Elephas maximus indicus: one gene and its partners. The protein of the gene in region 1 binds, or shares a complex with, the protein of each later gene. Links are inferred from orthologs where the notes say so. Each region holds a gene or a part of one and is shown in the gene's direction. Other genes may lie near its edges.

What was found.
Region 2: ABI1 (region 1) and NCKAP1 share a complex: the UniProt entries of both Homo sapiens proteins name them as parts of the WAVE2 complex. The link is inferred for Elephas maximus indicus from reciprocal best matches to the Homo sapiens genes ABI1 and NCKAP1.
Region 3: ABI1 (region 1) and WASF2 share a complex: the UniProt entries of both Homo sapiens proteins name them as parts of the WAVE2 complex. The link is inferred for Elephas maximus indicus from reciprocal best matches to the Homo sapiens genes ABI1 and WASF2.

What each region holds. Positions count from the first base shown.
Region 1 is NC_064822.1:28,454,360-28,462,110, forward strand, and holds the start of ABI1 (abl interactor 1), read left to right. Parts: upstream 1-4,671; 5' UTR 4,672-4,813; coding exon 4,814-4,930; intron 4,931-7,751. UniProt on the Homo sapiens protein: May act in negative regulation of cell growth and transformation by interacting with nonreceptor tyrosine kinases ABL1 and/or ABL2. May play a role in regulation of EGF-induced Erk pathway activation. Involved in cytoskeletal reorganization and EGFR signaling.
Region 2 is NC_064824.1:81,383,235-81,390,344, reverse strand, and holds the start of NCKAP1 (nck-associated protein 1), read left to right. Parts: upstream 1-4,123; 5' UTR 4,124-4,247; coding exon 4,248-4,355; intron 4,356-7,110. Other genes in the region: nematocyst expressed protein 3-like, read right to left, coding at 3,711-4,123. UniProt on the Homo sapiens protein: Part of the WAVE complex that regulates lamellipodia formation. The WAVE complex regulates actin filament reorganization via its interaction with the Arp2/3 complex. Actin remodeling activity is regulated by RAC1.
Region 3 is NC_064821.1:67,844,495-67,851,578, reverse strand, and holds the start of WASF2 (actin-binding protein WASF2), read left to right. Parts: upstream 1-4,058; 5' UTR 4,059-4,251; intron 4,252-7,084. UniProt on the Homo sapiens protein: Downstream effector molecule involved in the transmission of signals from tyrosine kinase receptors and small GTPases to the actin cytoskeleton. Promotes formation of actin filaments. Part of the WAVE complex that regulates lamellipodia formation.

The sequences.
Region 1 (7,751 bases):
GCTATCCTCACAGTTGTTGCTATGTTTGAGCCCATTGTTGTAGCTGCTGTGTCAATCCATGTCATTAAGGGTCTCTCTCTTTTTTGCTGACCTTCTACTAGCTCTGTTAGCGGTGGGCTGCTAACCCAAAGGTGAGCAGTTTGAACCCACCCCTCGCTCTGTGGGACAAAGACGTGGCAGCCTACTTCTGCAAAGATTTACAGGCTTGGAAGCCTTATGAGGCGGTTCTATTCTGTCCTGTAGGGTGGCTATGAGTCGGAATTGGCTCCACGGCAGTGAGTTTTCTACTAAGCATGAAGTCCTTCTCCAGGGAGTGGTCCCTCCTGATAACATGTCCGAAGTACGTGAGACAAAGTCTTGGCATCCTCACTTCCGAGGAGCATTCTCGCTGTACTTCCAAGACTGATTTGTTTGTTATTCTGGCAGTCCATAGTATATTCAATATTCTTTGCCAACATTATAATTCAAAGGCATCAGTTCATCTTCCGTCTTCCTTATTCATTGTCCAGTTTTTGCATGCATATAAGGTCATTGAAAATACTATGGCTAGGCTTAGTTACACCTTAGTTGTCTTAGTTATCTAGTGTTGGTATAACTGAAATACCACAAGTGGATGGCTTTAGCAAAGAGTAATTTATTCTCTCACAGTCTAGTAGGTTACAAGTCCAAATTCAGGGTGTCAGCTCCAGGGGAAGGTTTGTCTCTTTTTTGGCTCTGGAGGAAGGTCCTTGTCCTCAATCATCCCATGGTTGAGGAGCTTCTCAGGCACAGGGATCCCGGGTCCAAAGGACATGATCTGCTCCTGGTGCTGCTTTCTTGGTAGTATAAAGTCCCCAGCTCTCTGATGCTTCCCTTTCCTTTTATCTCTTGAGAGATAAAAGGTGGTGCAGGCCACACCCCAGGGGAACTCTCTTTACCTTGGATCAGGGAGGTGACTGAGTAAAGGTGGTGTTACAATCCCACCCTAATCCTCTCAACCTAAGGTTATAATCACAAACCGGAGGACAACCACACAATACTGGGAATCATGGCCTAACCAAGTTGATACACACATTTTTTGGGGGACATAATTCAATCCATGACATTCGTTCTCGAAGTGACATTTTTGCTTTTTAACACTTTAAAGAAGTCTTTTGCAGCAGATTTGCCCAATGCAATACATCATTTGATTTCTTGACTGCTGCTTACTATTTCTATTTTCAGTGCCCTTAGCTAAATCTCTAAGCTTAAGTTTCCTTACCTGGTAAAGAAATAAAATAATATTTACCTTGTTTATCTCTCAGAGTTGTTGTGAGCATTAAACAAGTCTGATAGTACTTTGAGTAATAGTAATTCAGTATCATCTCCTTAATCATTCCCCCAATGTTGTTGAAATGTATAAATATATGGATATATGCAGGCTCACGTAGAGACCAAGATCAAGAATATAACACATTTCCACTACTTGAATTAAATCCTGTTGAATGTAATTGGATTAATGATAAAACTTGAAGCAAGACCGTTGTGCCTATTCCAGACAATTAGTAAAAGTAACCCATTCATTGATTGATGGACCTTAGAATCCTTGACAGGGACTATGGTGTTTTTCTCAGTTTAATATAATGGTAGTGGCTAGGGGCAGTTATTTCTTTTATGTAGCAGACTTAAGTTCCTCCTTGGGAAGGTTGAATATGTTATGGCCCCTAGTATAAGTAATAAGGAGCCCTGGCTGTGCAATGGTTAAGCACTCAGCAGCTAACTGAAAGGTTCATGATTTGAACCTGCCCAACGTCTCCGTGGGAGAAAGACCTGGCGATTTGCACCCCTAAAGATTACAGCCAAGAAAACTCTGTGGGGCAGTTCTCTGTCACACAGGGTCACCATGAGTTGGAATCGATTCAATGGCACCCAACATCAACAAGTAGAGGTAATATTCAATAAATACTTTTGACGGATTGATCTTTTTATTTGATTGTGTGGTGTTACCATTTCTATCCTTGTGATTCTAAATGGCTACGTGGAGAGCTATGAAAATGGATTTTCAAACAATCTTTAAGTTAACTTCCTTTTTGGCCTTTGGACAACACTTTTCATAACCCATTATACCAGAAGCATTTCATATTTTCAGTGAAACTAAAAGGTTAAAATATAGGGCTTTTTGAAACTCTTCCAAAGCAGCTGATAATCAGGAAAAAAAAAAAATGATTTTACACAACCTACAGAAACAAAAACAGTAGGGTGAGACATGCAAAGGAGTCAGAGAAAAGAAATTAGGACGGGACAGCATTAAAAACCATGCATGTTTTGTTTTTGAGGTTCTATAATTTTGACATTCGGTTGGATCACCTTTCTTGGGAATAGGCATAAATATGGATCTCTTCCAGTCAGTTGGCCAGGAAGCTGCCTTCCATATTTCTTGGCACAGATGAGTGAGCACCTCCAGAGCTAGAACCGTTTGTTGAAACATCTCAGTTGATATTCCCTCAATTCCTGGAGCCTTGTTTTTCGCCGATGCCTTCAGAGCAGCTTGGACTTCTTCCTTCAGTATCATTGGTTCCTGATCATATGCCACCTCTTGAAGTAGTTGAACATCAACTAATTCTTTTTGGTATAATGACTCTGTGTATTCCTTCCATCTTCTTTTGATCCTTCCTGCATTGTTTAATATTTTCCCCATAGAATCCTTCAGTATTGCAACTCGAGGCTTGAATTTTTCCTTCAGTTCTTTCAGCTTGAGAAACGCCGAGTGTGTTCTCTCCTTTTGGTTTTCCATCTCCAGCTCTTTGCACATGTCATCATAATACTTTACTTTGTCTTCTCAAGACTTGCTTTGAAATCTTCTGTTCAGTTCTTTTACTTCATCGATTCTTCCTTTTGCTTTAGCTGGTCGACGTTCGAGAGCAAGTTTCAGAATCTCCTCTGACATCCATCTTGGTCTTTTCTTTCTTTCCTGTCTTTTCAGTGACCTCTTGCTTTCTTCATGTATGTCCTTGATGTCATTCCACAACTTGTCTGGTCTTCAGTCACTAGTGTTCAGTTCATCAAATCTATTCTTGAGATGGTCTCTAAATTCAGGTGGGATGTACATAATGTCATATTTTGGCTCTCGTGGACTTGCTCTGATTTTCTTCAGTTTCAGCTTGAACTTGCATATGAGCAGTTGATAATCTGTTCCACAGTTGGCCCCTGGCCTTGTTCTGACTGATGATATTGAGCTTTTCCATCATCTCTTTCCACAGATGTAGTCAATTTGATTCCTGTGTACTCCATCTGGTGAGGTCCATGTGTATAGTCGCTGTTTATGTTGGTGAAAGAAGGTATATGCAATGAAGAATTTGTTGGTCTTGCAAAATTCTATTATTCAATCTCCGGCATTGTTTCTGTCACTAAGGCCATATTTTCCAACTACTGATCCTTCTTCTTTGTTTCCAACTTTCGTATTCCAATCGCCAGTAATAATCAATGCATCTTGATTGCATGTTCAATCAATTTCAGACTGTAGCAGCTGATAAAAATCTTTTGTTTCTTCATCTTTGACCCTAGTGGTTGGTGCGTAAATTTGAATAATAGTCGCATTAACTGGTCTTCCTTGTAGGCGTATGGATATTATCCTATCACTGACAGCGCTGTGCTTCAGGATCTTGAAACGTTTCTTTTGACAATGAATGCAACACCATTCCTCGTCAAGCTGTCATTCCCAGCATAGTAGAGTATATGATTGTCCGATTCAAAATGGCCAATACCAGTCCATTTCAACTCACTAATGCCTAGGATATTGATGTTTAGCCATTCCATTTCTGTTTTAAAGATTTCCAATTTTCCACGTCTGTCCGCTTGTCCTACTGTGGGGACTTGAGTGTTCCTGTGATGCTGGAAGCTATGCCACCGGTATTCAGGTACCAGCAGGGTCACCCATGGAGGACAGGTTTCAGCTGAGCTTCCACACTAAGACTAGGAAGAAAGACCCGGCAGTCTACTTCTGAAAAGCATTAGCCAGTGAAAACCTTAGGAATAGCAGCTTTTTACTAATGATAAGACGTACAAAAAAAAAAAAAGGTGGTGATAAGTGCTGTTCATTGTAACTCAAATACATCTTAAGTCGAGGATTACCTATAAATATTTGGAGTTTTCCATATTCTATCCATTTTTAAGGAGCCCTGGTGGTGCAGTATCTAAGCGTTAAGGCTGCAGGCGAAAAGATCATAGTGTGAATCCACCAACAGCTCCTTGGAAACCCTATAGGGCAGTTCTACTCTGTCCTATAGGGTCGCTATGAGATGGAATCTACTTGATGGTAACGGGTTAGGTTTTGGTTTTATCCCTTTTTAATACTAACCGGAATCCATGGCTCTTATTTATCCACATTCGGTTGCTAAAGCTCTGTAGCTCCACAGCCTTGGGGGAGGTGGGACGGTTTTCTTCTCCAGCATCACCCTATTGCGCCATCTACCGGAGCTGTCAGGAAATTCCAGACCTAAAATCACCGCCTCTGGTCAAGATTCCCTAGTTACACTCCTCCCCGACGCCTGCGCTTCAGATGAGAAGTCTAGCCTATCAGAGACTACAATTCCCAGAAGACCGTGCAAAAAAAAAAAAAAATCCCTCTCTCTAGGAGTTAGGAACGATCGCGAGAGAACGAGGTTAAGGCGGCTGCGCGAAGTGGGTAGAAGGGGGTGGAGAGAGCGAGGAGGAAGAGGAGGAGGTACCGTCCCACAATACCAGGCGGGAGGGCGGTAGGCGGTTTGTATCCGGGCTGTGAGGTGCTCGGAGCCTCCGCGGACCTCGCTGCCGCTGTCTCTTTAACGCGAGAGGAAGCGATGCGGAGGGGTGGAAAATGGCAGAGCTGCAGATGTTACTAGAGGAGGAGATCCCGTCTGGCAAGAGGGCGCTGATAGAGAGTTACCAGAACCTGACCCGGGTGGCGGACTACTGTGAGAACAACTACATACAGGTGAGGAGCGCGGGCGGGCGGGCAGACGCTGCCCGGGCCGAGGACGCGCCGCCGGCCGCCGGAGTGACCAGCCCCCTGGGCGGGGTGGGGAACTGCCTAACCTCAGCCTCTGCCTCAGCTCCAACCCCAACCCCAAGCCCAGCCGCCAGAGAGCAAGTGGCAGGGTTGAGTGAGTCGGGCTGTGATACAGGAAGTGGCTCTGGTGGTTGAAACCGATAGAAGGGGAGAGAGAAAATGGGCGAGGGACCCGGGAGCCCGCCGCCACCGCAGCCGGGCGGCCCCCTGACGCCCGCCTCCCCGCAGGCTCGACCCCACGAGTCTCGCTGCCCTTCGGCAGCCCTCCCTTCTCCGTGCTTCTGTCCCGGGGACCCAGCTGCTGCCCCGCTGCCTCTCCGCCGGGGAGGGGGGGTCTGGAACCGGGAGAAGGGAGAGGAAAGGGCAGGGAAGAGGCTAAGGGAGAAGCAGCAGAAGGGACAGGAAAAGCGGGGTGTGCTTCGGGGAGGGTGGGGTGGGGGCAGTTATGTCAGTTCAACCCAGAGGGTGTGTCGTTTACTTATTTATTTTTTAAAAAAATTTGTCATGAGTCACATTACACAGACCTCCCTAAGGAGAGGAGAAGCGGGTGTGGAGTAAGGGAGGGCCTTTGAGAGAACTTAATCTTAAAATTCCTTTAATTGACGGTTTGTAAATCTGCCTGCCTGTCCGTTTTCAAGTCGGGTTTTTCGGTCTCATCATTTTCACTTCCGCTCCACTGCAATGTAGTCTAGAGGTTGTTAAGGAGTATCGTTATTATAAAACGTAAATTATTCTTAACTACTTGGAAAAATATCTTACTCTCTCTTCCGCCTAAAGTTCTTGAACCCTTGGCTTCACAAGTAACTTAGAATGGTGTAACCGCCGTTTTCTGAAGTTTCCCTGTTTCCAACCTATGTGCACGTGTAGAATATGAATCCAAATAGATTACCGAACCTTTGAACCAGAACGTAAAATAGCTGTTATTGCAAATTTATTGGAAAATTCTTGGGCCCTTATCTGTGATATAAGCTTGTTTTTATTTTAATGCTTGAAAGTGAATTATATGTGTAGTAGTTTGCTTTGCGGTTCATTAACTGTGTAAACCAACAGTTTGCTGTAGAAGCAAATGAAGTAGCAGACTTTTGTATCAGTATAATGACACCCAAAAATTGCTTGTTATTGGTAAGGCATGACAGAACGTGCTTTGAAAGGTTAGAGGTATTGCAATTCAGAACTGAAGTATTTTTAGAAATGCCTTCGATGTGATTATCATTTTTAAGAACCAATGACTTCTGTATTGGCAAATGCATTTCCTCTTACTTTATAGGCAGAGGTGCTGTTTTCAAAATATTTTAATTATTTCTAAGTTTTTTTATTAGTAACATTGTCTCTTCAGTAGCATTACTAGGACTTTATCTTCACAAATTTTTTCAAGCATTTACTTAGGAATTTTACTGATAAGTAAAGTTGTTGAATGCCTGCCACATCTACTGTATTACTACTTGTTTTTTCAAACTGTATTTAGCGTTTAAAAAAATCACTTTAAACTCTAGTAGAAATGTGGATATAGTTTACAAATAGAAAAGTGGTTTTGTAGTTAGTCAGTATTAAAAATATGCAATTTTTATTCAACCCAGCATGAAAAGCTTTAAAATTGAGGCGAACCTTATTTGCTGAAGATCTTGAAGATTTTGAAACTCAGACAGCTTAGAAAGTTAAATTGCCCCCATCCCAGAAAAGCCATTTCTTAACAGAAGTCAGTAGATAAGTACTTCATAAAGGGGAGATTCCTTTTTGTTTTGCATGTTGGGAAATCTGACAAGTATATGGTGTGGTAACTGCTACACGTTGGCAACAGTTGGTAACTGCAAACATGTTTTAACCTGTCTGTTGGCTATTTCTTTTTCAGATGGTTGTATGCTGTAAAGGTGTTTCTTAATTTTCTTTTTTCTCTCTGACCCCTTTTCCTTCTCCCTCATACCACCGTCGTGTAATTTTGAAGTACTTTTAAACTTCATTGGTAATTTCCCTAATTAAGATGTCATGTTATTTCTCATAGTCTTTCACTTTCTAAAATATTAGTACCATGGTATCGAGTCATCGCCAGTGGCCTCAAGGTTTTTTTTTTTTGGTGGTCCTAAACTTGACTTCAGGTCCCTGGGGGGTGCATACAGATTGCATTTGACCACTAACCAAAAGGTTGGCAGTTCAAACCCATCCAGTAGTGCTGTGGAAGAAAGGCCTGGTGACCTTGCATTTACACTCAAGAAAACCCTGTGAAACTCAGTTGTAACATATGGGGGTTGCCATGAGTCGGAATCAACTAGATGAGAGTGGGTTTGTTTTTTAAACTTGCCTCCAGTGAGGTATTCTGATCTCGTCCTTACCTGCTGTTGACTCAGCCTCCCACTCATGGTGACCCCACGCACAACAGAATGAATGCGGTTCAGGCCTGTGTCATCCCCATGATTGGTTATGGGTGGGACCGTTGCGATTCATAGGGTTTCCATTGACTGATTTTTAGAAGTATGTCACCTGACCTTTCTTCTTGGTGGTCCCTGTCGGTCTGGAGGCTCTGATGAAACCTGTCCAGCATCATACCAGCGTGCAGTCCACCACTGACAGATGGATGATAGCTGGGCATGAGGTGCTGTGGCCAGAATCAGACCCAGGTCTCGCTCATGGAATGGGGGAATTCTACCACTGAACTGGGGGTGACGGGTGGGGGAGATGAAATTCTCACACAGCAGTGATTATCTTAATACCTCAGTAGCCCTTTAAGCTTTAGGCTGCATGATTCAGGTCA
Region 2 (7,110 bases), on another chromosome or scaffold:
AACCGGAGAGGCATTTGATTATACAAAGATGGGAGCTGGGTCCTCAACTAGTGTAACTTTGACATCATGTTGTCCAAGAATTTCTGCCCTCCAAACTCAGGTTCCACTGTCATAACCAAAGCCATATCTAACTGAGTAGGCCATGGTGCCAAATACTCAACTGTAGTTCCTGGTTTGATGGCAAGGCCAACACTTCATATCATGCTCCCGAATGTCTTTAATCAAAGCTCCTGGGTTCTCAGTGGCCTCAGGATGAAAGGTATATTGATTGGACCCTGCTATAGCCACTGGCTTTACCCACTGTTCAGGCCTGGACACCATCATGTGTACGTTAAAGAAAGGGTCCTGGCCTAGCTGCTTTTGGAGGCTTTCTACCACAGGGTGACCAAAGGTGGTGCTGGTAACAAAATGCCTGTCTGTTACATCCAGGTGCAGATAATCAGCTCCAGAGTCCAGCATCTGGAGGCACTCCACCGCTAAATTGGCCAGGCTGCTGTTGAGGATGGACAGGACAATCTTGCAGCCAGACACCATGGTACTGGTTCCTCCCATTTTCTTCTTTTTTAATTATTTTTTGGTTGAGAATATGCACAGTGAAACATACACCAATTCAACAGTTTCTACATGTACAATTCAGTGACATTAATTACATTCTTTGACTTGTGTGACCATTCTCACTCTCCTTTTCTGAGTTGTTCCTCCCTCATTAACTTAAACTCACTGCCCCTTAAGGTTCCTAACTAATCTTTTCAAGATGCTGTTGTCAGTTTGATCCCATATACATAGATCTAAAAGAGCATAATGCTCAAGGCAGACATTCTTTATTAGTTAAGCTAAACCATTGTTTGATTTAAGAAGACTTCAGGGAATATTTTTGGTTTAAGGTTTAGAGATTATCTCAGGGCAATAGTTTCAGGGGTTCATCCAGCCTCCATGGCTCCAGAAAGCCTGGATTTCATGATAATCTAAAATTTTGTTCTGCATTTTGCCTCTTTTGGCCAGGATTCTTCTACACCTGTAAACCCATTGCCATTGAGTCGATTTCAACTCATAGCGACCCTACAGGACAGAGTAGAACTGCCCCATAGGGTTTCCAAGGAGCTCCTGGTAGATTTGAACTGCCTACCTTTTGGTTAGCAGCCGTAACTCTTAACTGCTACGCCACCAGGGTTTCTGGAATCTTCTATAGACTCTTTAATCAAAATGTTCAGTAATGGTAGCTGGGCACCATCCAGTCCTGGTCTCATAGCAGAGGAAGCAGTTGTTCACAGAGGCAATTATCCACACAGCCATTTCTTCCTCCTATTCCTGACCTTCCTTCTCTGTTGCTCCAGGTGAATAGAGACTAATTGTGCCTTGGATGCAGTACCATTTTCATGTTCTCTCTGTACAGTACTTTGAAAAAACTAGAAAATTAGATAACTTTGCACTGGTGGAACTCCATTATTATGTCTCTACTAAAACTGTTTGTGGTGCTATAAAAGAGCACAGTCTTTCCACAACATTTGGCACCTTTCAGTTTTATCTGGCAGCTCCAAACCCCTCACTGCAACATCCCCTTCCAAGGTCTGTTCTTGTTATCCCAGGCTACAGATCATTGCCTTTTCTCTAAATTAAAACTTTAAATATCAGGTTGAAAGAAACCAGATAATTTAAATATCCCAGCACATTAATACTTATTCAGTCTGAATACTGAGCAAATAATCTGAGAAACTGGCTATATGAAGAACGAGGCATCAGGGTTGGAGGAAGAGTCATGAACAATCTGCGATATGCAGATGACACAATATTGCTTGCTTAAAGCGCAGAAGACCTGAAGCACTTAACTGATGAAGATCAAAGACTACAGTTCTCAGTATGAATCACACCTCAACATAAAACAAAAATCCTCATAACTGGACCAATGAGCAACATCATGATAAGCTGCAAAAAGACTGAAGTTGTCAAGGGCTTCATTTTACTTGGATCTACAATCAACACCCATGGAAGCAGCAGTCAAGAAATCAAACATTGGGCATTGGATTGGACCAGTTTGCTGCAAAACATCTCTTTAAAGTGTTAAAAAGCAAAGATGTTACTTTGAGGACTAAGGTGTACCTGACCCAGCCCATGGTATTTTCAATCACCTTATATGCCTGGAAAAGCTGGACAATGAATAAGGAGGACTGAAGGAGAACTGATGCCTTTGAATTATGGTGTTGGCAAGAAATATTGAATCTACTGCCAGAAGAACAAACAAATCTGTCTTGGTAGAAGTACAGTCAGGATGTTTCTTAGAAGTGAGGATGGTGAGACTTTGTCTCCTGTACTTTGCACATGTTATTAGAAGGGACCAGTTTATGGAGAAGACATCATACTTGGTAGAGGGTCAGCAAAAAAGAGGAAGACCCTCAAGAGATGGACTGACACAGTGGCTGCAACAATGGGCTCAAACATAGCAACGATTGTGAGGGTGGTTCAAATGCAGTGTTTCCTTCTATTGTACATAGGGTCTCTGTGAATCAGAATCCACTGGAGGAACACCTAACAAGAACAACACGTTAATGACCTATAACAGTGCATTAGGTGGCATCTCTGAGACGTTTGTTTTAAAAAAAAACAAAACTCTTCAGGTACAAAAATGCAGCTCTAAGTATAGAATTCCAAGCACACTGGTAGGTACCATTATGTATTTTTGTACTTGGTGGGTACAGGGCTCTTTTTAATGCCCTTGAAAACAAGTCCTATGAGTCTCCGAACCGACTCATGGTTCCTAACAACAAAAAAAGTCCATTTAGTCTACTCACTTTCATTTGTTGGGGGTATTAAAATCAGGATTTCCATAGGTATAGTAGATACATTAGCTTTAAAAAAAAGTTTAAGAAGCTATTCATCACAATTTCCTTTTCATAAAGTGTTTTGATAAACCCAATGATAACTTATTTACTCTTTTATTGAAGTTAGCAGAATATTTTGTCATTGGCTTAAAACTAATGAAATAATGCAAAAGATTGATACATGGAAGGGCAGTAAGGCCAAAATCATCAAAGTGGCTCTACTTCTCTAGGCTTGAATCCTCATCCCAGCCAATTACATAAGTCCTTGATTTGTTCACTTTTGAAACCGTATCTGATATATTTGACCAGAGGGAATAGTAGCCTTGAAGTGTGGCTAGGAAACTAGCCAGGAAAAAAAAAGAAACAGAGAGATGGAAAAGTAGAAAGTTTCTGAAAAGCGGTCGGACTTAGGGTGGAGGCCAGGAAAAAATGGGAGCGTTCCTTCACCCACTGAATAAACATTTATTCTGTGCCACCCACGTGTTTCTCGTGGACAAATTCCAGATTCTGATTATCTCAGGAACTTGAGTTGTCCTCACTTCCGATCTCCTCCCGCATAAACTGCTTGGGGCAGGGGTGGTGTGGGGGTGAGTTAGGATGGAATGGGGAGCTTGGGAGAGGCGAAGCCGCTTCGCGGAACACAACATCTGCTGTGTTCTGCGGTGAGCGTCTGTCAAGCAGTGGGAGGAAAGGCGCCTGGAGCCACCAGCCCACTCTCAGGAGAAGCTCATCTGAGACTCCTCCCCGCCCCCCTACTTCTTCTGGTTTCTTTAGGACGATGGCGCAGAAAGACAACTTATGTTGCCACTTTAGGAACTTGAAGGCTGGGGGGTGCTGGAAGCGGCGGGACGCACAGAGAAACGTGACCCTACTCGGTCCCCACTTAGGACTCACATTTGGGGAATAGGCGCAGGCAGCGAGTCGGGTTCAGGTGGGGTCCGGGTCCAGAGTGGCTGCGACTTGGAAGCCTGTCGGGGTAGGCAAGGGCCTGCCTGGCGCAGTTCTCCGACCGTCCTCGCGGGGGCGCCGGCGCGGCCGATCAGGTGACCGAGCGCCCGTCCGGGGCTGCGGGAAGCCGCCTCGTTCTCAGCCGCCGGAGACGCCGCTGCCGCCGCCACACCTAGTGGAGGAGTCGGGGAAGGCGGCTTGGTGGGGGCTGGGACAGAAGGCGGCGGGGGTGGGGACGGAAGGGCGGCGGGCGGAAGGCAGGAGGCTGCCGGGGCGCGGGCTGCTGCGGGGGAAGGGACCCCAAGGCGTCCGCCGCGGCTCGCTCTGTCACCGGCGCGGGGTTGGGACGCTAGGGCCATGGACGCGCTTCCCTGAGGCGGAGGTCGCGGGCGGGAGAGGAGGAGGCCGAAGAGAGGTTACTGCGGAGGCCGCGGGCCAGTGACCGGGCGCCAGCAGGCCGGCGGCGGCGGCGGCACCACCACCATGTCGCGCTCCGTGCTGCAGCCCAGTCAGCAGAAGCTGGCGGAGAAGCTCACCATTCTCAACGACCGGGGGGTCGGCATGCTCACCCGCCTCTACAATATCAAGAAGGTGCGCACGGGCCGGCGAGGCCGCGGCGGGCGGAGGGCCGAGGAGGGATGGAGGGTAGGGGAGGCCTGGAGGGTGCGGGGCGGCGCCGCGGGCAGAAATCCAGCATCGCCGCGTCAGGCCCGGCCCGGAGTCGCCGGGATGTGCCGCGGCCTAACGGGGAGTTCCGGGAGCCTCTCCCGGTGGCTCGCGGGCCGACCGGAGGCAGGGAGAAGCCATTTCCCACTTCCCAGCGGCAGGATCCGGCGCCGGCCCTGGCGTGGGGTGGGGGCGCCGTTGCCCCCTTCTTCGCGCCTCCGCCCCCTGGACGGGGTCGTCAGGAACGGGAGAGAGATGGGTGGGCTAGATTTTCGGAGAATAGGAAAAGTTGGGTGTTCCAAAACAGACGAAACCCTAGAAATCTGGCGGGGATAGCAGTGAACGGGGATTACACCCCACCTCTCAATTTCTTGGTGTGTGGGAATGTGGGAAAGGAATGAATGGCTAATCAACATTAACCTACATTCTTTCTGCTCTGCCAGTTTATTTGAGATTGCTGAATAAAAACCATTTGAGAGGCTGTTGACGATTTGGGATTATTTCATTTTTTGAAGGTGGAGAGGAGGGGGAAGTGAGGGTGGAACCAATTTTCTTCTCAAATACTTCTGGGCTGTGAGTCACTAGAACAGGAATAACAACCTTCTTTCCCTACCCCCTTTACTCCTCCTCATCTGAATTTTTCCAGCCCTATCTGATAATGTTAAAACACCATTTCTTAGACTGTGGTGTCTATACCAAATAAAAATGTAAATATGTTGTGAATTCTGCAGATTTATAGCATAATCAGATAATTTGAGTAGCTAATAGACTCATTGAAAATCTTTACATGTCTTCAGCAAATTTAAGAAATGGGAGGTTGAATTGTAGTTAAGAAAAATAGATGTAATGGTAGAGCAAATATTGCATTCATTTATCTTAGGAGAAAACAACAAAAATCCTTTTCCTTTTTAAAGGTAAGGTTGGTAATTTTTAATGAATGTGGTTAAGAGAAAATTAAAGAGCAATTTTGTTTGCAGTCTAGAGCCTTTGAGTTTCCAGTGTGTATTTGGTGTCATTATCTTCATGGTTATTTTTGCTGGCTTTTTAAAGTACCACGAATATTTTATTTAATCGTAGCAGTAGAATCGCAGCTTTTGTGAGTCTTGGCTGCTGAAGAAAGATTGTGTTTTTCAAAATTCACATCATGGGGTTCAGGTATAAAATTTGAGGTAGATAGTCTACTTCTAAAGGGAAAGATGGTTTTGCTGTAGTTACGATAAATTTTGGATAAGGATTGCTATGGTCCTCCAGTTGCTCACAAGGATGCAAGGATTGACTCTGCACCCAGTGCAGTCTACCTGTGCGGTTTGTTACATTTTATGTGACTGGGGCATAGTGTCATTACAAAGAAGCCCTTTGCATTTACTAAGATGCCTTGGTTATAAATTTATGTACGTTAGGAATAATTTAATTTTAGATAGTATTACTTGTAGGTTGCATTGACTTGAATGTTTTGTGAGATTATACTTTTTAGACAACTCAGAAATTGGTTCCAATACAAACTTTGTCCAAACAACTAGCAATTCAAACTTCAGTAAAGTTACTAGACCTGTGGTATTGTGGTTAAAGGAAATGGTTATGATGGTTTCCAGAAGAGGAAGTGAGAGTAACATCAAAAGTGATTTGGTATTTGGGCAAAACACTTTTTTTTAAAGCATACATTAAACATTTTTATATTATAAATGTAAGCAAACTTACCATATTCTACCATAGTAAATTAGGTAAGGGTAAACTAAAATCTAAAGATCTGAACAGATGACGGTTCACTGTCTTTTCTCAAAAGCAGTTTTTTTTTTTTTACTTCCTGTTTTGAGAAACTTTAGGCTCTTGAAGTAGCAAGATTTAAAATAAGTTGAATGTGATCAGTATTATATCCATGTGTCAAATACCTTGAGTTTTTGAAATGTTGTATTTCAGCACTTAGCACATATTTGTAGTTCATTGGGAAATATTTTATCTACCTTGCCTTAACGTGAGTTCCCTTGGGGCAGGGACAGTGTTATTCATCCCTAAACTACTGGTATTTAGGGTCTCACTTGGTACCTGAGGCCTTTAAGGCCTTGTTGAAATGAATGAATACAAAAAATATATATACCTTGCCCACATTTCAATAATAATAATTTTGGTTTGCTCTCCTTGTGTAACTGCATATAAATGCATTAAAGAAATTTTGGATCTTTTAGCCTCTAGAGTTGCCTGTGAGGCCAGCTTATCTTCTCAGCTGGCTAGGGATTGAAACATTTGTTCCAAAATCTTGCCAAAAACAGTAATATGTGTCCACCATGTGTTCATGCTGTCTGCATTCTTATGACAGTATAAACCACATAATCTTTTCAATCTCAACCTTTATAGTCTTCAAAAAACTACCACCCTATATACATGCCATTCAGTTATCATTCTTTTATTAATGCATATGTACATTAGATTGTCTATCAGATTTGATTAATCTTCACTCCAATTGAAAGTCTACTCTGGAAATATTTTAGCGAGCATGTACAATGAAAAATGCAAACTTCAGTGACCTAAGTCTAATAACACTTTTATAAGTTACTCTAGACAATAATATTATGCTTTAATGCTCATGGAGCCCTGGTGGTACAGTTGTTAAGAGCTTGGCTGCTAACTAAAAGGTCGGCAGTTGGAATCTACCACCCACTCCTTGAAAACCCTATGGGGCATT
Region 3 (7,084 bases), on another chromosome or scaffold:
GCAATCCTTCTCAAGTTCCACGATTAGGTTTGAATCCCAGCTGTTCTGCTTCCAGACTGGGCCACTTCAGGAGAGTCACTTAATTTCTCTGTGCCTCCTTTACCTTGTTTGTAAAATGGGGATGATAGTAACAGGACCTAGTTTATAGAATTGTTGTGAGAAGTAAATGAGTTAATGCATGTAAAGCACTTAGCATATGCCTGGCACATAGTAAATACTCAATAAATGAGAGTGCTTAATATTACCATTTATGTACAAAACATCACCCCATCTGAAAATAACTTGTGTACCTTCATTGCCTAAAAGGAGAAGCCAAGACTCCTGTTGTCAGACAACCTTCAAGCAAAGCTCCAGAGTCTTAATTTCCAGTGCAAGTAGTAACTGCTATTATTAATAATTACTATATTATTAGAGTTAACATTCAATAAATGCTTACTATGTGCCCATGCTAAAAGCTTCACATTTGTTATCTTATTTAATCTTCGTATCTCTGGGAAATAGAAATAATTATAATCCCCATCTTATGGATAAGACAACTGTGGCTCAGATAGACTATGCCACCTGCCCAAGGTCACACAGCTAGAAGACTTACTTGGCTCCAAAGTTTCCTATGACAATTAGGATCATGTGACAACTCACCAAGTGCCTAGCTGCCTGCAACAGCTCTCTCCCAACACATCCGCTGGATATCCTGCCTCAGGCTCACCTCTGTCCGTGCTGGGAAGACCAAGCACCATTTACAGAGGGCCTTCCATGGGCCAGGACACCTTATACACATTTTGCATTGAATTTTCATCCCAACATTTTGGCCCTCTATCATTATCCTCATTTCTCAGAAATACAGCTGAGGCAAAGAGAGGTGCTTCATACACTCAGAGGTGGCAGAGCCAAGATTCAAACCCTGCCTCACAGCTTGTATTCTCCCAGGGACTATAGGTACAGATGCCCTTGGAGAACAGTCACACTTTCAAGGCCAGGTTCCCACCCCTGTAACACCCTCATTCTTTCAGCAATAACCACAATACTCCCATGGTAGCCCATAAGGCCTGTACGCTCTGCCTCCCTCCCCAGCGCCATCAACCATATTGGTCTAGATACCTTTTCTGTTGGCCCGTAACACTTCTCCCCAACTCCCTGCTGCCTGGTTCAGTCCTATTCATCCAACTCTCCCAAGACATCACCTCTTTAGAGAAACCTCCTCTGACTCCACCCTATCCCCTGATATTCACACTCATAAACACACTGTACTTTGCCTTCTTGTTCCTTATCATAGTTTCTAACTATATTCTGATTCCTGTGTTTTGATTTGTGTAATCATTTGTTCAATGGCTTTCTTCCTCACCAGACTCTAAGCTCCATGAGGGTCTAAGTCTGTTTCACTCACCATTGTAGCTGCAGTATTGGCAGGCTGCCCTGCATGTGGTGGGTGCTTAATAATATTCTGTCATGGACTGAGTTGTGTCCCCCGAAAATATGTGTATCAATTTGGCTAGACCATGATTCCCGCTACTGTGTGATTGTCCACCATTTTGTCACCTGATGTAATTTTCCTGTGTGTTGTAAATCCTATCACTATGATGTTAACAAGATGGATTAGTGGCAGTTATATTGATGAGATCTACAAGATTAGACTGTGTCTTGAGCCAATCTTGCAATATAAAAGTGAGAAACAAGCAGAGAGTCGTGGGGACCTCAAACCACCAAGAAACAAGAGCCAGGAGACTAGTGCATCCTTTGGACCTGAGGTTCCTGAGTGAGAAACTTCTCAAACGGGAAGATTGATGACAAGGACCTTCCTCCAGAGCTGACGGAGAGAGAAAGCCTTCCCCTGAAGCTGACGCCTACTAGACTGTGAGATAATAAATTTCTCTTTGTTAAAGCCATTCACTTGTGGTATTTCTGTTAGAGCAGCACTAGATAACCAGGGCATATTCTATGTAACGAATGAATGGCTACTGGGCACGTTACACACATTGCTCATTAATTCCATAATTAACTCATTTAATCCTCTGAACTGCCCTATTGTCCCATTTTAGCGAAGAGGTAGGTGAGGGCTGATCCAAAAAAAAAATCAAACCCATTGCTGTCAAGTTGATTCTAATTCATAGTGACTCTACAGGACAGAGTAGAACTTCCCCATAGAGCTTCCAAGGCTGAAATCTTTATGAAAGTAGACTGCCGTATTTTTCTTCCACAAAGCGGCTGGTGGGTTCGAACCTCCGACCTTTCGGTTAGGAGCCAAGCACTTAACCACCATGTCACCAGGGCTCCTAAGTGAGGGTTAAAGAGCTAAAGAATGGCAGAGCTTGGATTCCATCACAAATCAGTCTGACCCCAAAGCAAGCCACTACCTTCTGCATAGCACCTGCTGCCTCCCAGCACCCTAAGGTCACAGTCAGGATTGAAATAGTTGCTGGCTGTCAATTTGAGCCAAGAGGTTAGAGACTCGGCTGGCACTGAGGCCCTTGTTGGTACCACACCCAGTAGGAAGGCTCTGCCCTTCTAAAATTTTAGGCTGCTCCACCTCCTACTCCCTTTTTGGCCTCTTTTCTTTCCAGAGAAGGAAAAAGGCTAAGATTTACAGCCAAGGCAGCCCTTCTGGGAAAAACAATCTTGTGGTGAAAAGAGCCCTGTTCTGAGAAGGGTGAGACCTGGATTTCAGTCTTGGCATGGAGGCTGCCCTGCTGAAGGCCCACAATGGCATCACTGCCCCTCCTGGAGCTTCTGTGTCCTCATTGGGATTCTGCCTGGGCTGCTGACCCACCTGCTATCCCTTACCTCCTGATTCCTAGGGCCCCAGAAACAGCTCAGACACACACCAAGGGTCACTTTTTTTCCCAGGAACCTTAGTGATCGACAAGTAGCTGAGGGTTGGCCTGTACCCAAATCTATAATGACCAGAGATGTGGGATGCTATCCTAGAACCTTCAGGGCTTTTCCGAGAATGCTAAGGAGATGCAGGGGAAGTCTTCCTCGAGTGACACCTGGCCTGGAAGGGAGGAATACAGAAATGGAAGCCAAAAGACACAGGTTTGAGCCCCAGACCAAAAAAAAAAAAACCAAACCCAGTGGCGTTGAGTCGATTCCAACTCATAGCGACCCTACAGGACAGAGTAGAACTGCCCCATAGAGTTTCCAAGGAGCGCCTGGTGGATTCAAACTGCCGACCCTTTGGTTAGCAGCCGTAGCTCTTAACCACTACGCCACCAGGGTTTCCATAGCTGTTTCAAATTCCCTGAGCAACTCTGGGCAAGTCACCGAACATCAGAGACTCAGTTTTCTCTTCTGCCTCACGGGGTTGTTCTGGAAAATCAAAATGAGATTAGCTTTGCTAATTTGGGAACTTGTTGCGCAGTTGTCCAGTCGCAGTCTTTTGTAATCAACAAGATGCACTCATGCACCTATTCTCAAACGACCCAGGACGTGAAGCAGGGTGAGGCGGTATAACTGAGAGAGAGATTCAGGTTGTTGTCTGAGGTCGCAGAGTCAAGTAGCGGCTGAACTAGGGTCCAGCTCACTTCACTCAATTATCAGAACCTGCTCCCCGTCCCAGGACCCCGGATCTCGCCCCAGGTGGATTCTTCAGGGCCAGGATGAAGCCTTATGACTCTCTCTCTCATCCCCCACCCTACTTTCGGCCGGGTCTGAGATCGAGCTGGGTGGGACAAAACTATCTGCAACTTGAGGGGTGTCCACAGAAAGTTTATGGGACTGGCCCCTTCCTTCCAACAAAAATACTGATTCTTTGAACTTTAAAAGAATAATTTGTCTTTTAATACACTTGTATGAGTTTTTACACTTTCTTATTTGGACTTTTCCTACCTTAAATTTAGGAGTTGATTTACCTTAATTTCCACTCCCACTTCACTTGGTTTGCCCCCTGCTGTTTACTCCGTTTGCGGAAATCGCTCGGGTGGAGCTCCCGGGACAGTATCCTTGAATACGTCTTTTGCGTAGTTATTTAACTGGCATTCCGCTCGAGCCAATGGAATACTCCGAAGCCCCGGGCGGGTGGGGCAGAGAGCCAATCAGAACTGTCGGCGGGGTGTGGCTGCGTCTCAGGGTGGGGAATCGCGTAATGGCGGATGCGGGCCGGCCGAGCGCGGCTGGGGGCGTTGTGTGCTGAGGGGGGTCCGGCTGGGGTGGCAGGCCGTGAGGCGGCCCGCGGGAGCAGACCCCTTGCTGAGACGAGGTGGCCGGCCGGCCGGCCCGCCGGCCCTTCTGTCGCTGAGGGCGCCCGCGCGAGGCCAGGTGAGCAACAAGTCCCCTCGGGCGGGCCCCGCCGCCCCGCCGTGAGGCGCTAGGCCGGGCCGGGCCGGGCCGGGCCGCCCCTCCCGAGTCGCGCAGGGTCCGCGGGGAGTGGGTGCAGCGTCTCCTATCGCGGACGGGCAGAGGCCCGGCGAGCCGTCAGCGCGAGGTGGCGTTCCTACCCCAAGGGGTGACCCGGAGACTTGGAGGGGCCTATAGTTCTGTGAGGCTGCGAGAGTGCCCCAGCTTGCCCTGGTTCCGCCACCAGCTCGCTATGTGACCTTGGGCAAGTCACTTCCTTCACTGGGCCTCACTTTTCCCATTTATAAAATGAAGGCTTTATGGACAGATATACATGAGTTGGATCCCAGCTGTTTGAGATTTTGGGCAAGTTCTTTCCCAGCTGAGCCACTGTTCCCACTTTCTGGACAGCTCAGGAGTTGACGTGCTTTTTAAGCTCTTGGCCTGCTAAATTGTGGACTGGCAAGGCGAACACGGAGGGCTCTGTGTGTGTGTGTGTGTGTGTGTGTGTTCAGAGTGGTCTGCAAGAGTAAAGAGGAGAAGAGTTGGCTAAAGGTGCTGGGTGTTTCCTAGACCATGATGGGTGGGGTCGGGTTGTCCTGGTACTCTGAGAATCCTAGAGCCTTGGAGATGAGGAAGTTTTATACAGTTGCCCATAGAATCAGAGAAGAGGAAGGAATCCTTGGAGCCTCTCAGGGCTGTGACTGGAACTTAGGCCCAGCAGTCAGGAGGGTTAGGAGGAGGGAGAAGAACATTTATGGTGCTCCTGCTTTGTACTAATTTAATTTTTACAGAAACCGTTGAGAATTTACACATGAGAAAACTAAGTTTCAGAGGAGTTAAGTAACTTGCCCAAGGTCACACAGTAAGGTGCAGCACTCACCAGTATTAAGGTGTTTCCTTTGATAATTACTGGGCAAGAGGAAGTCATTGTCCATTTAAAAGATAAACTAAAGCAAAACCAAATCATTGCCGTTTAGTCGATTTCGACTCATAGCGACCTTATAGGACAGAGTAGGTTTCCAAGGCTGCAAATCTTTACAGAAGCAGACTGCCAGCTCCACATCTTTTTCCCGCAGAGCAGCTGGTGAGTTTGAACCACTGACCTTTCGGTTAGCAGCCGAGTGCTTTAACCACTGTGCCAGCAAGGCTCCTATTTATTATATCTTATTTAGAAGATACCAGTGGGAGAGGGGGGCTGGCCCCAGATACTTAATTTCTTGCATGGAGACAGGCTGGGTCAAGATCCCTGCATGGTTAATTATAAGTCTGTCCCCTTTGTTCCCTCTCTGAGTTGGAAAGGACTATTTCTAAATTGTAAAAGTCACTTTGAAGTGTGTCAGAACTTCAGACCGCTCAGCTCGAATCCTGGCCAGGTGGCCTATGGAAGAAAGTTCAACCAGCTATTAACTTGACGCTTGGTTCGGGGTGGTGCCAGCCCAGTAAACTTGCTCTCCTCCCTAAGAAGGCCACGTTTTCTTGGGCTGGGAGAAAGTTTAGTTTAGGATTTCTTTGGATTCTAGGGGTGAAAGGTTCAACAGTTTGTCCCTGAATGTACTATTTCTTTGTGCTCTCTGTATCTGACTTCTAGATGAGCAAAGATTGTGGACCTGAGGAGGAGGTAGTTGGGTACTATAAATTACAACCCATACTTTTTCCAAACCTTGGCACTTTTGATTAATCAAAATGGTGGGACTGACCTTGGGTATTGTTCTCTTATGTTAATGGTAGGGAAGAAAATTGGAAGAGGAAGTTGCTGAGAAAGAAGGCGTTTCTTAGCAATGGAGCCAATATGTATTTTCTTTGTTTGAAATTCTAAAACCAGAAAAGCAGCAACTAAAGGAGGAAGGAAGGAAGGAAGGAACTGTGAAACTCTTCTTCCCATTCAAACATCCTTTAAGAGCTGTCCCTGTCAGAGGCTCTCCTTTCACAGAAAAAGTCAATTGTAATCAACTTTCAGAACTTCTACTCTAGAATGAAATAATTTTAAATCTTAAACCTTCTGAGATATTTTTTTTTAAAAACCAAAACATTTTACCGAGCAAGCTATTTATCAGTGAATGGTTCTTTTTCTCAACATAATTTTTCTTAGCATAATTACCAATTCAGTCTTTGCCAATATTTTAACTGCGATTTAAGTGGATTTCAATCTAAGAGGAATTGATCTAGATATTGGATGATGCAAATGTCACCATCACTTGAAATACAACATAATTGATGTGTTTGGGTTTTTGACATTTGTTAAAAGTCCTTTTAATGCTTTAATTTCTAGGATTGTATGTGTGCGTGATAGTTGTTAAGACATTGAATTTATCACATGTGAAGATCTACATTCATTCTCAGTATTATATTTTATGTATGAGAAGACATAGCATTAATTAGTATACCAGTCCACAGTACCGTATTCAGAATCTTTGGGGGCAAAATAATTCTTGGGGCCAGATGTGATTCTGGATTTTAGAAAAGAAATATGGTACATGTACCGGATATTATGTAACACTCCCAGAGAGGTTGGGGTCAGCACCTCGTAATCAAACACATAACTATTTCTATAGCAAAATGTCTGAATGTTCACACCAACTGGGATAAATGAATACTATGAATAACCTCATGTCAGTTCATGTCAGGTTTTGTATCCAAATGAATAATAATAAACTTGTTTTTCACAGCCTTTTGGATTTTGGAATTGAAGTTAAGGGATTGTGGACCTCTGTGGGTAAAACTTGTATGATGACAAGAATAATTACAGGGAACAATATTGTATAACCAATCTAATTTCAAAGTCATGGGTTTTAAAAACGATATTACATAGAAG